Schizosaccharomyces pombe: one gene and its partner. The gene in region 1 interacts genetically with each later gene. Each region holds a gene or a part of one and is shown in the gene's direction. Other genes may lie near its edges.

Evidence for each region.
Region 2: mutations in rad3 (region 1) and cdc20 are lethal when combined (synthetic lethality), as found in Schizosaccharomyces pombe (3 studies listed by BioGRID, with this or other methods).

The regions. Positions count from the first base shown.
Region 1 is NC_003423.3:902,170-907,184, forward strand, and holds the start of rad3 (ATR checkpoint kinase Rad3), read left to right. Parts: upstream 1-2,014; 5' UTR 2,015-2,195; coding exon 2,196-5,015. Other genes in the region: SPOM_SPBC216.03 (uncharacterized protein), read left to right, coding at 1-516; peptide-methionine (R)-S-oxide reductase Mxr2, read right to left, coding at 987-1,403. UniProt on the Schizosaccharomyces pombe protein: Serine/threonine kinase which activates checkpoint signaling upon genotoxic stresses. Involved in G2 arrest following DNA damage where it phosphorylates chk1.
Region 2 is NC_003423.3:3,252,002-3,259,731, forward strand, and holds the start of cdc20 (DNA polymerase epsilon catalytic subunit Pol2), read left to right. Parts: upstream 1-1,720; 5' UTR 1,721-1,887; coding exon 1,888-7,730. Other genes in the region: respiratory chain complex IV assembly protein Cox20, read right to left, coding at 602-798, 952-1,066, 1,133-1,183. UniProt on the Schizosaccharomyces pombe protein: DNA polymerase II participates in chromosomal DNA replication.

The DNA.
Region 1 (5,015 bases):
GCCGGTGCAGGAGGTAAAGGCGGCCCTGAACGAACAAGAGCCGTCGATTATGAAGGTGCTATAAAAGTTTATGATGCTATGAGGATAGCTGGTATTCGACGCTTAATTATGATATCTGCGATAGATAATCGTGATATGAGCCAACCTCCTCCTCCTTACTATACGGCTGCTGATATAGAGCTAAGTGAGAAAATACATCAGTCAATTGGAACTTATTACCATTACAAGTACCTAGCGGATCAGGAATTAGTGCGACGCTCTAGTGATATTGATTGGACGATTTTACGTCCTTCTGGTATGACAGACGAGAAGGGTTCTGGAAAAGTTGCATTGGGTAAGATATCCATAAATTGTATGATGTCTCGTGAAAACGTCGCGCGTACTGTACTACTGTTCGCTCTTGATAATCAGTCCATCCATTTGGTGGTTGACATGACGGATGGAAATGTGCCAATATATAAAGCCATTGCTGGATTCGTCGTAAAAGGAGAATCATCCTATACTTATTCAGTATAATGTAATGACATTTTCGGATCCTTCGCGTATTATTGTAGTCCACGCATCTTTTACTCCTTTCTTAAAATCTTCTGAAAAAAGAACGAAAATTTTTCAATGACCTATGAAGCGTACGCAAATTAATAAATATTTAAGTGAGGGATACTTTAGTTATACCCTTTATAGTTGAAATAAATGGAAGATCATATCAGGTAGTGTAAACATTGTGTTATCGTTTATTAACTTTGGCATAAGCAGCTTAGTTATAACATACGGCTAGTAAATCTAATTTCTGACCTAGAGATTACTACACTCTTTGAAAACAAAATATATTAGTTTAAAATGTTAAAAGTAAATGCATTTTATTGAAGTTAACCAAAACGTGAACAAGCAACTTTAAATAAAATAATAGCCGTACATCAAGCACAAACAATTCGAACTGGTGCTAACATCTAATAAAGAAAATACAGAAATATTAAGCATAATCTAGTTCAATTGTCATTTGTTGCCTCATTATGGAATTCCAAACTCGCCGAATTTATACAATGGCGTTCGTCAGTAGGATTAGAATAACCTTCTCCTTTAAAAATATGGCCTAAATGACCACCACAGTTGGCACAAACTGCTTCTACACGATGCATTCCATAAGAGTTGTCTTCAATGCGTTTCACCTTTCCAGGTAAATTATCGAAAAACGCAGGCCATCCACAATGGCTTTCAAACTTTGTGCTAGCTTTATAAAGAAGCTCTTTACATGCAGCGCAAACAAAAACGCCCTGTTTAGGGAACTGATGAGTGAATCGTCCTGCACCTGGGTGCTCAGTACCCTTTTGTCTCATAATTCGATACTTCTCAGGACCTAGCTCCTTTTTCCATTCATCTTCGCTTTTTTCCAATGGAAATCCCATCTTTGTATTATTTTTGACGTTTTGGACAGGGTAGGAGACGTTATATGCACGTTTCAAAAGATTCGTAAACTTCGTATTTCCACAGATTGAAAAGTGTGTAGTAATCACTTTTTTCATGAAAACACAAGACGATATGTACCACAACTGGCACTACAAAAATTTTCAAGTAAGTAAACGACTTTTTGACCACTATTTATGTGAATAGGTAGGTACCAAGTAAAAACTGCTTAGTAAGTATAAAACACAGAAGAATCCGCGATCTAGTGAACCAATGCCCTGCGTATGACGCTCCACTGACGCTATAGTCAATGAGAACTAGGATGTGCGATTATAACTTATCTTTTCAATATTTTCTTATTATTTATTTAAGAAATAATTGAATTAAAACTCATTTCTTCTTTTATTAGCCGTAAAATAGCTTATTTTCTCTCCTACTACCTTTCAACAATAACTTTTTTTTTTGTTTATTGACCATTATAATCACATCAAAAGTCAAAAAATTCAATCATTATCAGAAACATCCAGCCTAATATTACTTAAAAGTTAGTTTCCTCTGAAAATTCAGTATCACAAAAGCTCGTTAATTAGCATCGCTCGATACTTAGTGCACCATGCATCTTCCTTTACCTCGTGAGTGGAAATCGATTTGATAATCGATTGCCACTTTTCGCATAATTCTATTGAGATATTTTATTACTTACAATCGTCTTTTATAAATGCTCAAGACTTTGAACGCGCGTGTTGCGTTTTAAAAAGGCCTTTTTTTGAATTGAATCAATGGTTTGATATAGTATGAGCCAACACGCAAAAAGGAAAGCTGGGTCACTCGATCTTTCACCCAGAGGCTTAGATGACAGACAGGCTTTCGGACAGCTTTTGAAAGAAGTATTAGCATTAGACAAAGAACATGAGTTAGGTAGAAGTAATTCTTTACCATCTATGACCTCCGAGCTTGTTGAAGTTTTAATTGAAGTTGGTCTTCTAGCTTTTAAACATGATGATTCAAAATCTGAATTTATCTCTCCTAAGATGCTAAAAGAAGCCCATCTCTCTCTACAAGCGTTAATGCTAATCTTAAAAAGGTCTCCGACAGTTTTGCGGGAGATTAAATCATCTGTTACTCTTTTGGATTGGATTTTACCCAGGACTATATCATTGTTTGCTGATATTCGTTTTATTAAGTTATTTGACTCATTAAAAGAGTTTCATAAGCTAATTTATCAGCTAATCAGTGAAAAGTCATTCCTATGGGACTTATATGCTTCGTTTATGCGTTATTGGAAATATTATATTACAAACGTTTCTTCTATAGTTCTCCAAATCACTAATGCTACATTCCCTTACAAGATGCCCTCACCCAATTCTCAACCATTGCAGAGTATCACCCCAAATTATCCAACCCATCGAGAGGACAAATTTGATTTACTTATCATTAATATAGAGGAGGCTTGTACATTTTTCTTTGAAAGTGCCCATTTTTTTGCACAATGCTCATATTTAAAGAAATCCAATTTTCCTAGTCCACCTCTCTTTACAGCGTGGACTTGGATCAAGCCATGTTTTTTTAATTTTGTTATTTTATTAAAACGAATCAGCATCGGAGACTCACAGCTCTTTCTACATTTGCATTCACGTATAGTCCAAACTTTATGCTGTTTTTCCTTGAATTTTATATATCATGGCCTTCCCATTTGTGAAAAATCTAAACATATTTTAATGTCCTCCATCAACTTAACATTGGGATCATTGAAGAAAACTTATACAGTTGCTAATACTGCTATATCTCTTTTTTTTCTCTCTTTATTTGTTTTACCCAAAACTGTAGCTGGTCTATTCTATCCTTTTGGGGTTTCCTTACTTTCTGACTTCAAGGTATTAGAGCAACTTGAACCAGATTCTGATCTCAAAAAGGCAATAATATTATTTAAGTGCAGATACCAAAGTTCAGAAATAGATCAAACAACTCTCCGTGCTTTTGGCGAAATTTGTACTGGTAAACTTGAAAACACGTTGTTTTCTAACTCTGAATTAAACCTTTTTCTTTTACATTATCTTTCCTTGGACAATGACTTGTCAAATATTCTTAAAGTGGATTTCCAGAATGGTCATAACATATGTACATTTGCAAAATGGTGTATAAACAACAACTTAGATGAACCGTCTAATTTAAAGCACTTTCGTGAAATGTTAGATTATTATAGCTCTCATAATGTTACAATAAGTGAGGACGACCTGAAGAACTTCTCTTTAGTTTTGTGTACTCATGTTGCAAAGGTGAATGAGAAAACAAATAGTATTTTCCGCACATATGAAGTACATGGTTGTGAAGTTTGTAACTCATTTTGTTTACTATTTGATGAGCGGTCGCTCTTTAAAATTCCTTATCACGAATTGTTTTGTGCATTGCTAAAAAATCCCGACATAATTTCCTCTTCTGTTAAACAATCATTGTTGCTTGATGGCTTTTTTCGGTGGAGCCAGCATTGCTCAAACTTTAATAAAGAATCAATGTTAAGTTTAAGAGAATTTATTATGAAAGCATTAGCCAGTACTTCAAGATGTTTACGTGTTGTTGCTGCAAAAGTTTTGCCCATTTTCATTAAGGGACCTAATAATCTTGATATAGTTGAATTTCACAAGGAAAGTAAAGCCTTGATTTTTAATACGTTGAAAATATTGGCGGTGGAAAATACAGCTATTTTAGAAACGGTCATTCTTTCCTGGATCTCCTTATCTAGAGTGGTAGAAGAAGAAGAATTACATTTTGTACTATTGGAAGTTATATCTTCTGTGATAAACAGCGGAATATTTTATCAAGGCATTGGTCTCAGCGCTCTGCAACAAATTGCCTCGACGCGTCATATATCCGTTTGGCAATTACTTTCTCCATATTGGCCAACAGTGTCCGTTGCGATTGTCCAAGGTATGGGTAAAAAACCGAACATAGCCAGTTTATTTGCTCAGCTTATGAATATTTCCGAGGGCGATTTTCTTATTCGAACACAGGCGTACACTTTACCATTCCTTGTACTTACTAAAAACAAAGCGTTAATAGTACGTATAGCTGAACTTTCACAAAGTGATGTTGCTACTTTGTGCCTTACCAATATGCATAAAATCCTTGCTTCGCTACTTACTACGGATCATCCTAATTTGGAAGAGAGTGTGATGCTTCTTCTTTCACTGGCCACTTCTGATTTTGAAAAAGTTGATTTAACGTCTTTGTTACGCTCTGATCCTATTTCTATTACTGTGGAGTTGTTACAGCTTTATCAGAATGATGTTCCTCATGAAAAAATTGAAAATGCTTTAAGAAAGGTAGCAATGATTGTCTCTCAAGTGGTTAATGACGAAGACTTGAGCAATAAGGAATTACTTTATGATTTTTTTAATAATCACATTTTGGGTATCTTAGCAGAATTTTCTAATATCCTTAACGACCTGAAAGGAAAGACTTCAATTAATGAAAAGATTAAGACAATTGTCGGCATTGAAAAAATGTTATCTTTATGTGGAGGTGCAGTCAAACTTGGATTACCACAGATACTTTCTAATTTACAAAGTGCTTTTCAAAATGAGCACTTAAGGTTTTATGCAATCAAAGCTTGGTTC
Region 2 (7,730 bases), 2.3 Mb from region 1:
CCAATCGTACAAAAATTGTCGTAAAGAATACATATTTACATTCAAAAATATCACATAGCTTATTCATCCAGTTAGTAGAAATAAACCACCATAAAGGTCTTGTTACTTTTATTTTGGAAAGTTTTTAGCTGAAATCATGCGATGCCCTCGCAAGGTCGTAGACTGACTTTACGATAAAGGGGTAAACATACACGCACGAAAGATTGAGATGAGCTAGTACTTATAAAGTAAATAACGAACAAAAAGTCTACCATTGTTTAGTTAATATTGGGAAAATGTGGATGCTGTATATTTTTAAGACTTTTTTGCTGTTAATACAACGTTCAAGATACCAAGAGTATGTATTCCACCCATTGTAATGGCACCCTAAAAAGATTGAATTCTTCGAGGCAGTTAAAAATTCAACATTGGATTCTTTGGTGATAATTCACACTCTTCAATGAATACCATTTAAAAATGACAAACCATTCCGATGAACTCAAATTTAAAATATTAATTGAATAAGAGTTAATCGATCAAATGAAAAACTCAGCATACCATGCAATAGAGGGATGAAAAGAGCTTAAGAATAAGTAGAACCTAAAGAATCAAATGAATGCAATTACTCGTTAAAACCTTCATCAATTTCTTGAGCGGACCTTGAAGAGCGATGCTTCGGGGTCTTTTCTGCTGCTTCTGTAATTTTAATGTTGAAGTTATTAGTTTCAAGCTGCTTGCGGTAATTACACCCTTCCCAAGAGACGATGCTCATTCCAAAATAAGTTCCGAACCCCCAATTAGCAGCTCTAGAAATAGGTGCTTGAATATTGTTAGCATGTGTCGGCAAGAATTTAAACCGCTTATTAAACAACGGATTGAAATCACCGTTTTAAAAAGTTGGTCCGAAAATTAAAAGACATGCGATTTTTTTTGACGGACATCAATTAACCAGCATAATGTTTTTTTTCGTACCTCGAAGAAACAAATGGATGCAACCAACACCTAGACCACAGACGACACTGGTGATTAATGATTCCTTAAAACAAGGATGGTGTACCATGTGAGCAAAATCACTCATCTTCAATGACTACAAGTAGTATTAGCATTCCTTGCATTTACAACAAACTAGTCCTTTTTAAGCTATAAATTCTACCTTGAAAGCGTCAATAATCCCAGGTTTTTCGGGTTCATTTGGTGTACTCATAGTTACTGATTCGTTTAAGCTTTTTCAGTTAATGGTGGAATAGAGGTAAATATAAGGTATCAAACTGATTGAATTAAGCACTACTAAGTTTTTTTACTATGGCGGGGTCTTTAATCCTGTACTTCAGCAATCAGACAATATTTTTTTCTTTGAATTAATATAAACTTTTCCATTTATGATAGTATATTTCGCCAAAATAACCAAGCTTTGACAATTTATATCACTGAAAGCAGAAACCGCGTCACCATGCTTCTCTAAAAGAAAACTGCTTTTTTTTTTTTTTTTTTTTTCTTTAAATTCAATCCTTAAAGGAAGCAATATCGATTTGAAATAATTACTTACGGTCGAAACACACGATCATTAGGCTAATGTATACTAAATTTTGTATTTTTTTGTACTTTGTCTTTATTTTATGGCAAAAATAAATAAATTGTAATGCTTTGAACTGGAACATGATACCCAAAATAATTTGCAAGTTGTCGACGCGACGCGACTTGTTGTTTACCAATTTGTTGCCTCTTAACTCGGTATTAATCCAAACCACTATATCACATTTAAAAGGATACCTAATGTTTGTACAATAGAAGAAGTTTCTTCTTAATACTATTCCATTTATTAATTTAGAATTCTCTGGTAACAATCGGAAATTACTAAACTGTCGGTCTCTTTTTACTTTCTTTTTTTAATATTTATTTTGTATTGCTATGCCCTTAAAAACAGCTCGAGGAGCATCCAAATATCAGTTTAGGAAATTTAATGGTAACTACAATGGAAAAAGTAAATCGAACGGTAGGACGTTTGCAAAATCAACCGAGGAAGTTGGCTTCAATGATCCTATGAAAATTGTCTACAAAAAGAATGAGATTGATCGAATGATGGGTTTTGATAGCTATGAAGGTGGACAACCACGAGAAGCTTGGCTTCTCAACGTTCATCCAACAGTAATCGAAAGCACCAAAGGCAATTCTACCCTCAGTGCCGTTGACTTTTACTTCATTCAAGACGATGGTGACACTTTCCGGTGTACCATTCCATACTCTCCTTACTTCTACATTGCTGCTCGAGAAGGTAAAGAAGCTTTGGTTGACGATTATTTAAAAAAAAAATTTGTGGGCTTAATTAAATCTACTACGCGTATCTTTAAAGAAGATTTACAGCTAAAAAACCACATAGTGGGTTACCAAAAGTTGTATATAAAGTTGGTTTTTGATAACCTGAATGACCTTCAGGCTGTCAGGAAGTCTTTGATGTCTGCTGTGAAAGCTAATTCTTCCCAACAAGATGCCGTTGATGCATACACTAACTTGTCTTCGGAGAATTTAAACGGGATTATAGAAAACGCATTTGAAGATCCTTTAAATCATGTTTTAGATATCCGTGAGTACGATGTTCCGTATCATTCTCGTACACTTATTGATTTGAATATTCGAGTCGGACAATGGTATACTGTTTCATATCATGAAGGCCATGTTCAAATATCCCTTTTAGCTTCCCGAATCGAGCGTGCAGAACCTACTATAATGGCTTTTGATATTGAAACCACTAAGCTGCCATTGAAGTTTCCTGATAGCTCGTTCGATAAAATAATGATGATATCTTATATGATTGATGGCCAAGGATTTTTAATTACCAATAGAGAAATTATTTCCCAGAATATTGAAGATTTTCATTATACTCCGAGGGAGGAATTTGAGGGCCCATTTATTATTTTTAATGAGCCTGATGAAGTTGGCCTACTTCATCGATTCTTTAAACATATAAGGTCTGCAAAGCCTTCAGTAATAGTTACATACAATGGTGACTTCTTTGACTGGCCATTTGTAGACGCACGTGCTGCATTTCACGGATTGAATTTAACAGAAGAAACTGGTTTCTTCAGGGACGCAGAGGATGAATATAAGTCTTCTTATTGTAGTCATATGGATGCCTTCCGGTGGGTAAAGAGAGATAGTTATTTACCTCAAGGAAGTCAAGGTCTCAAAGCTGTCACTGTCAGTAAATTAGGTTATAATCCTATCGAACTAGATCCAGAATTGATGACTCCTTATGCAAGTGAAAAACCTCAAGTTCTTGCTCAATATTCAGTTTCAGATGCTGTTGCTACTTATTTTCTTTACATGAAATATGTGCATCCTTTCATTTTTTCTCTTTGTAACATTATCCCATTAAATCCTGATGAAGTTTTACGTAAAGGCACGGGTACGTTGTGTGAAACGCTTTTAACTGTTGAGGCTTGTACAAAAAATATTATTCTTCCGAATAAACATGTTGATGCTAGTCAAAAATTTTTCGACGGTCATTTACTTGCAAGTGAGACTTATGTTGGAGGACATGTTGAAAGTCTTGAAAGTGGTGTTTTTAGAAGCGACTTGCCGACTAATTTCAACATGGATCCAAAAGTTTATGAAGAACTAATTTTACAGTTGGACAAAGCCTTAGATTTTTCTTTAACAGTTGAAAACAACGTCAATGTTGATGAAATCGAAAATTATGAAGAGGTTAGAGACAGCATATTAAAGAAACTAAGTGACCTTCGTGATCGACCAAAAAGGTCGGAGAAGCCAAGGATTTACCATCTTGATGTCGCCTCAATGTACCCAAATATTATGATTACCAACCGGTTACAGCCAGATTCAGTAAAAGATGAATCGTTTTGTGCAACATGCGATCTTAATGTGCCCAATAAGACATGTGATCGTCGGATGGTATGGGCATGGAGAGGGGAGTATTACCCTGCTAAAAAAGGTGAATATCATATGATATATTCTGCTTTACAATCTGAGCGTTTTCCAGGCCCTACCCCTTTCTCACCTTTTAGGTCATTTCAAGAGCTTTCTCCCTCAGAACAAGCTGCTATGGTGCAAAAGCGCATTGCGGATTACAGCCGTAAAGTGTATCACCGTCTATATGATAATACCGTTATCGAAAGGGAAACTATAATTTGTCAAAAGGAAAACTCATTTTATATTGATACGGTAAAAAGCTTTAGGGATCGCCGTTATGACTTTAAAGGATTGCAAAAAAAATGGGTCAAACAACTTGCTGCTATAAAGGAAAAAGGAGGACTTGCTGAAATAGAGGAGGCCAAAAAGATGGTCGTACTCTACGATTCTTTACAGTTAGCTCACAAAGTTATTTTAAACTCTTTCTATGGATATGTCATGCGAAAAGGCTCCCGTTGGTATTCGATTGAAATGGCTGGTATCACATGTTTGACAGGCGCTACGATTATTCAGATGGCTCGTCAAATAGTTGAACGTGCAGGTAGGCCATTGGAACTTGACACAGATGGTATTTGGTGTATTCTTCCAGAATCGTTTCCTGAAAACTTTGAATTTAAAAAGAAATCCGGAGGAAAGGTTTTTATCTCTTATCCATGCGTTATGTTAAATCACCTGGTTCATGAAAAGTTCACCAATCATCAATATTCTGCCTTAAAGGACCCAGAGAAATTGGTGTATGAAACAACTAGTGAAAACAGCATTTTTTTTGAGGTTGATGGTCCTTATAGAGCTATGATTTTGCCTGCTTCAACGGAAGAAGGTAAAAACTTAAAAAAGCGTTATGCCGTTTTCAATTTCGATGGTAGTTTAGCTGAACTTAAAGGCTTTGAGGTGAAAAGAAGAGGAGAATTGAAGCTCATTAAGGATTTTCAATCTCAGATATTTAAAGTTTTTTTGAAAGGTGATTCTTTAGAGGAATGCTATCAAGAAGTTGCCTATGTTGCTGACACTTGGTTAGAGATTCTATTCACCAAAGGCTCTAACCTAACAGATGATGAATTAATTGAACTGATTTCTGAGAATCGTAGTATGTCTAAAGCTTTGTCTGAATACGGAAGCCAAAAATCGACATCCATTACTACAGCCAGGCGACTGGCTGACTTTTTGGGTGATCAAATGACCAAAGACAAAGGTCTAGCATGTCGTTTTATTATTTCCGCAAGTCCAAAAGGAAGGCCAGTTGCAGAAAGGGCAGTACCGGTAGCTATTTTCTTTGCTGAAGAATCTGTTAAGCGACATTTTCTTAGGCTCTGGTTGAAAGATAATGGTCTATATGATGTTGATATTAGAGACATTATTGATTGGGATTATTATTTGAAACGTCTAGGATCAGTAGTACAAAAACTAATTAGCATCCCTGCTGCTCTCCAAAGGATTTCAAACCCCGTTACCCGTTTTCCATTGCCGGACTGGCTTCAAAAACGAGTTGCTGTCTTGAATTCTAAATACCAACAGAAAAAGATCGATTCCATTTTCTCCTTAGCCCCTACAAATCCATCCACAATAAACAACACAAAAGTTACTGATATTGAGGATTTAGGAAGTGTGACTCACAAAGATAAGCGTATTGTCGCTCGAGTTACCAAGCGTAAACTTTTACAACAATCTGGGAACTCGGAAGCACCTGTATCTTTTGAAGTAAAACCTGTATCCTTTATGGATGGATATTCGAATTGGCTTAAGTATGCTAAGAAAAAGTGGAAATATCAGAAGCAGGTCAAGCTTCGAAGAAGACATTTAATTGGGTTTCAATCAAGGCAATTCACCAATGTTTTACAATCTTCTGCTGAAGTTATGTTTGAAAATTTATGGCATATTTTACAAATACGAGAAACCGATGTTCCTGGTATTTTACATGCTTGGGTAATTATTCGTAATCGGTTGACCTCGATACGGTTCATTGTGAATAGAAAGTTTTTTGTATGTTTCAAAGATGAGACTTTACCGAATGTTGAAATTGAGGGATGCTTAATTGAAAAAAGCAATGCGATATTACCGCATGGAAGCACTTCGGATAAGCTTTTTTTACTTGAAATTCCAGAAAAGAGCTATTTAACGGAAAAGGTATCAATTTCTATGATTTTTGCCCATCCGTCTGTTAGTGGAATATATGAGACTCGTATAGAACCAATTGAAAGATTGATATTAGAAATGGGATCCAGAAAAAGGTTTAATAATTCAGTACCTGGAGCGTTAGGTAAAGGCTTCGAATTTGGATTTGAATCTAAAATGTTCACTGACCCAAGTGATAACGATGTTTCCTATCTTGATGGAGTAGAGATGAACTACCTTTATGCATTCCATTTTTCCATTAGTAATAGGTTTGTTTTTTCACTTTTTATGCCACATTTAAAAAAAGTTGAGGCCATAATTTATGACAAACTGCCAGGTAGTGATATGTCTTTCCCATCAATCAGCAAAATTTACGAAGAGCTACGGTCGAAATTTGATAATTTAATTAAGGAAAGTAGTATCGAATACCCTGATACTCTTTCGTGTAATGTCATTTTCTCGGGAAACGAAAGGAAAGCGTACAAACTGATAGATGAAAAGTTGCTTCAATATTTTTCAACTAAAACTAAAAATAGTCTGCTTATTATTGAAAGTTCACTCCCTCACATATTGAAGGCAAATGTGAAGCAAATTGAAGAGCTTCCGTATATAATGATACCACGGCTTGAGAGCAACATACAGTCTCTTTCTTGGAAACAACACATTGCTACGAAAATGATCCAACATTTCTTAGCTATTGGTAGCTGGCTTTTCCATCGCATACAACTTTCTCGCTTCTCAGATATCCCATTATGCAACTTTGAAAGCGATGACATTCAGTACAGTATCGATGTTGTTTACTCTAGAAAGCTGAAAGAACATAATATTATCCTTTGGTGGAATAAAGGCCCAACTCCAGACTTAGGTGGTATTGAGAAGGATAGTATTCTGCAGATTGCCAGTCCCAAAGATCCACTAGAAGTTAACAATCCTGGTGCTTATTCAAATGCTTGTGTTGACATTTCTCTTTCCAACCTTGCACTTTGTAGCATTCTCAATTCTGCTCTCATAAATGACATAGAAGGTATTGGCGACATGGCAGCTTTGAATGATAATTACATGACCGCCATAAATGATGATCTGGAGGAAAAGTTGGGAATACATGATAATATTGGACTGACACATTCATTGCCGGTGTTGAAGGCGTTGGTTAAAACTTGGTGGAACGAAGCTGCATCCGGTAATAATCTCGCTGATCTTATAATTCAACATTTAGCCCGATGGATTTCTTCATCAAAATCTTATCTGTACAGTCCTTTACTCTCCTCGCACGTGGAAGTTATAATGAGAAAAACTTTTTTACAACTTCTCTCTGAGATAAAACGCCTTGGAGCACATATCATACACGCTTCTGCTAATAAAATATTAATCAAAACGAGCAAATTAATCGTCCAGAACGCTGTCACTTATTCAAATTATTTACTCAAATCCATTAAGACGTTACCACTATTTCACTTTTTGGATCTAAATGTCACGGAATACTGGGATTATCTTTTATGGATGGATTCCGTTAATTATGGAGGAAAAATGGTGGCAGCAAATTTTTCAGCTACAAATGAAGAACCACAGACAGTTGTTTCATGGCACATTAAAAGTCATTTACCTCCAATCATTCAGCCCGAATTTCAGAGTTGGATTGTTGAGTTTATTGAAGAGGTTTATAAGCAAAAATTAGAAAAGTCTAATACAAAAGTTGGGTTTGTTCGCGTGAA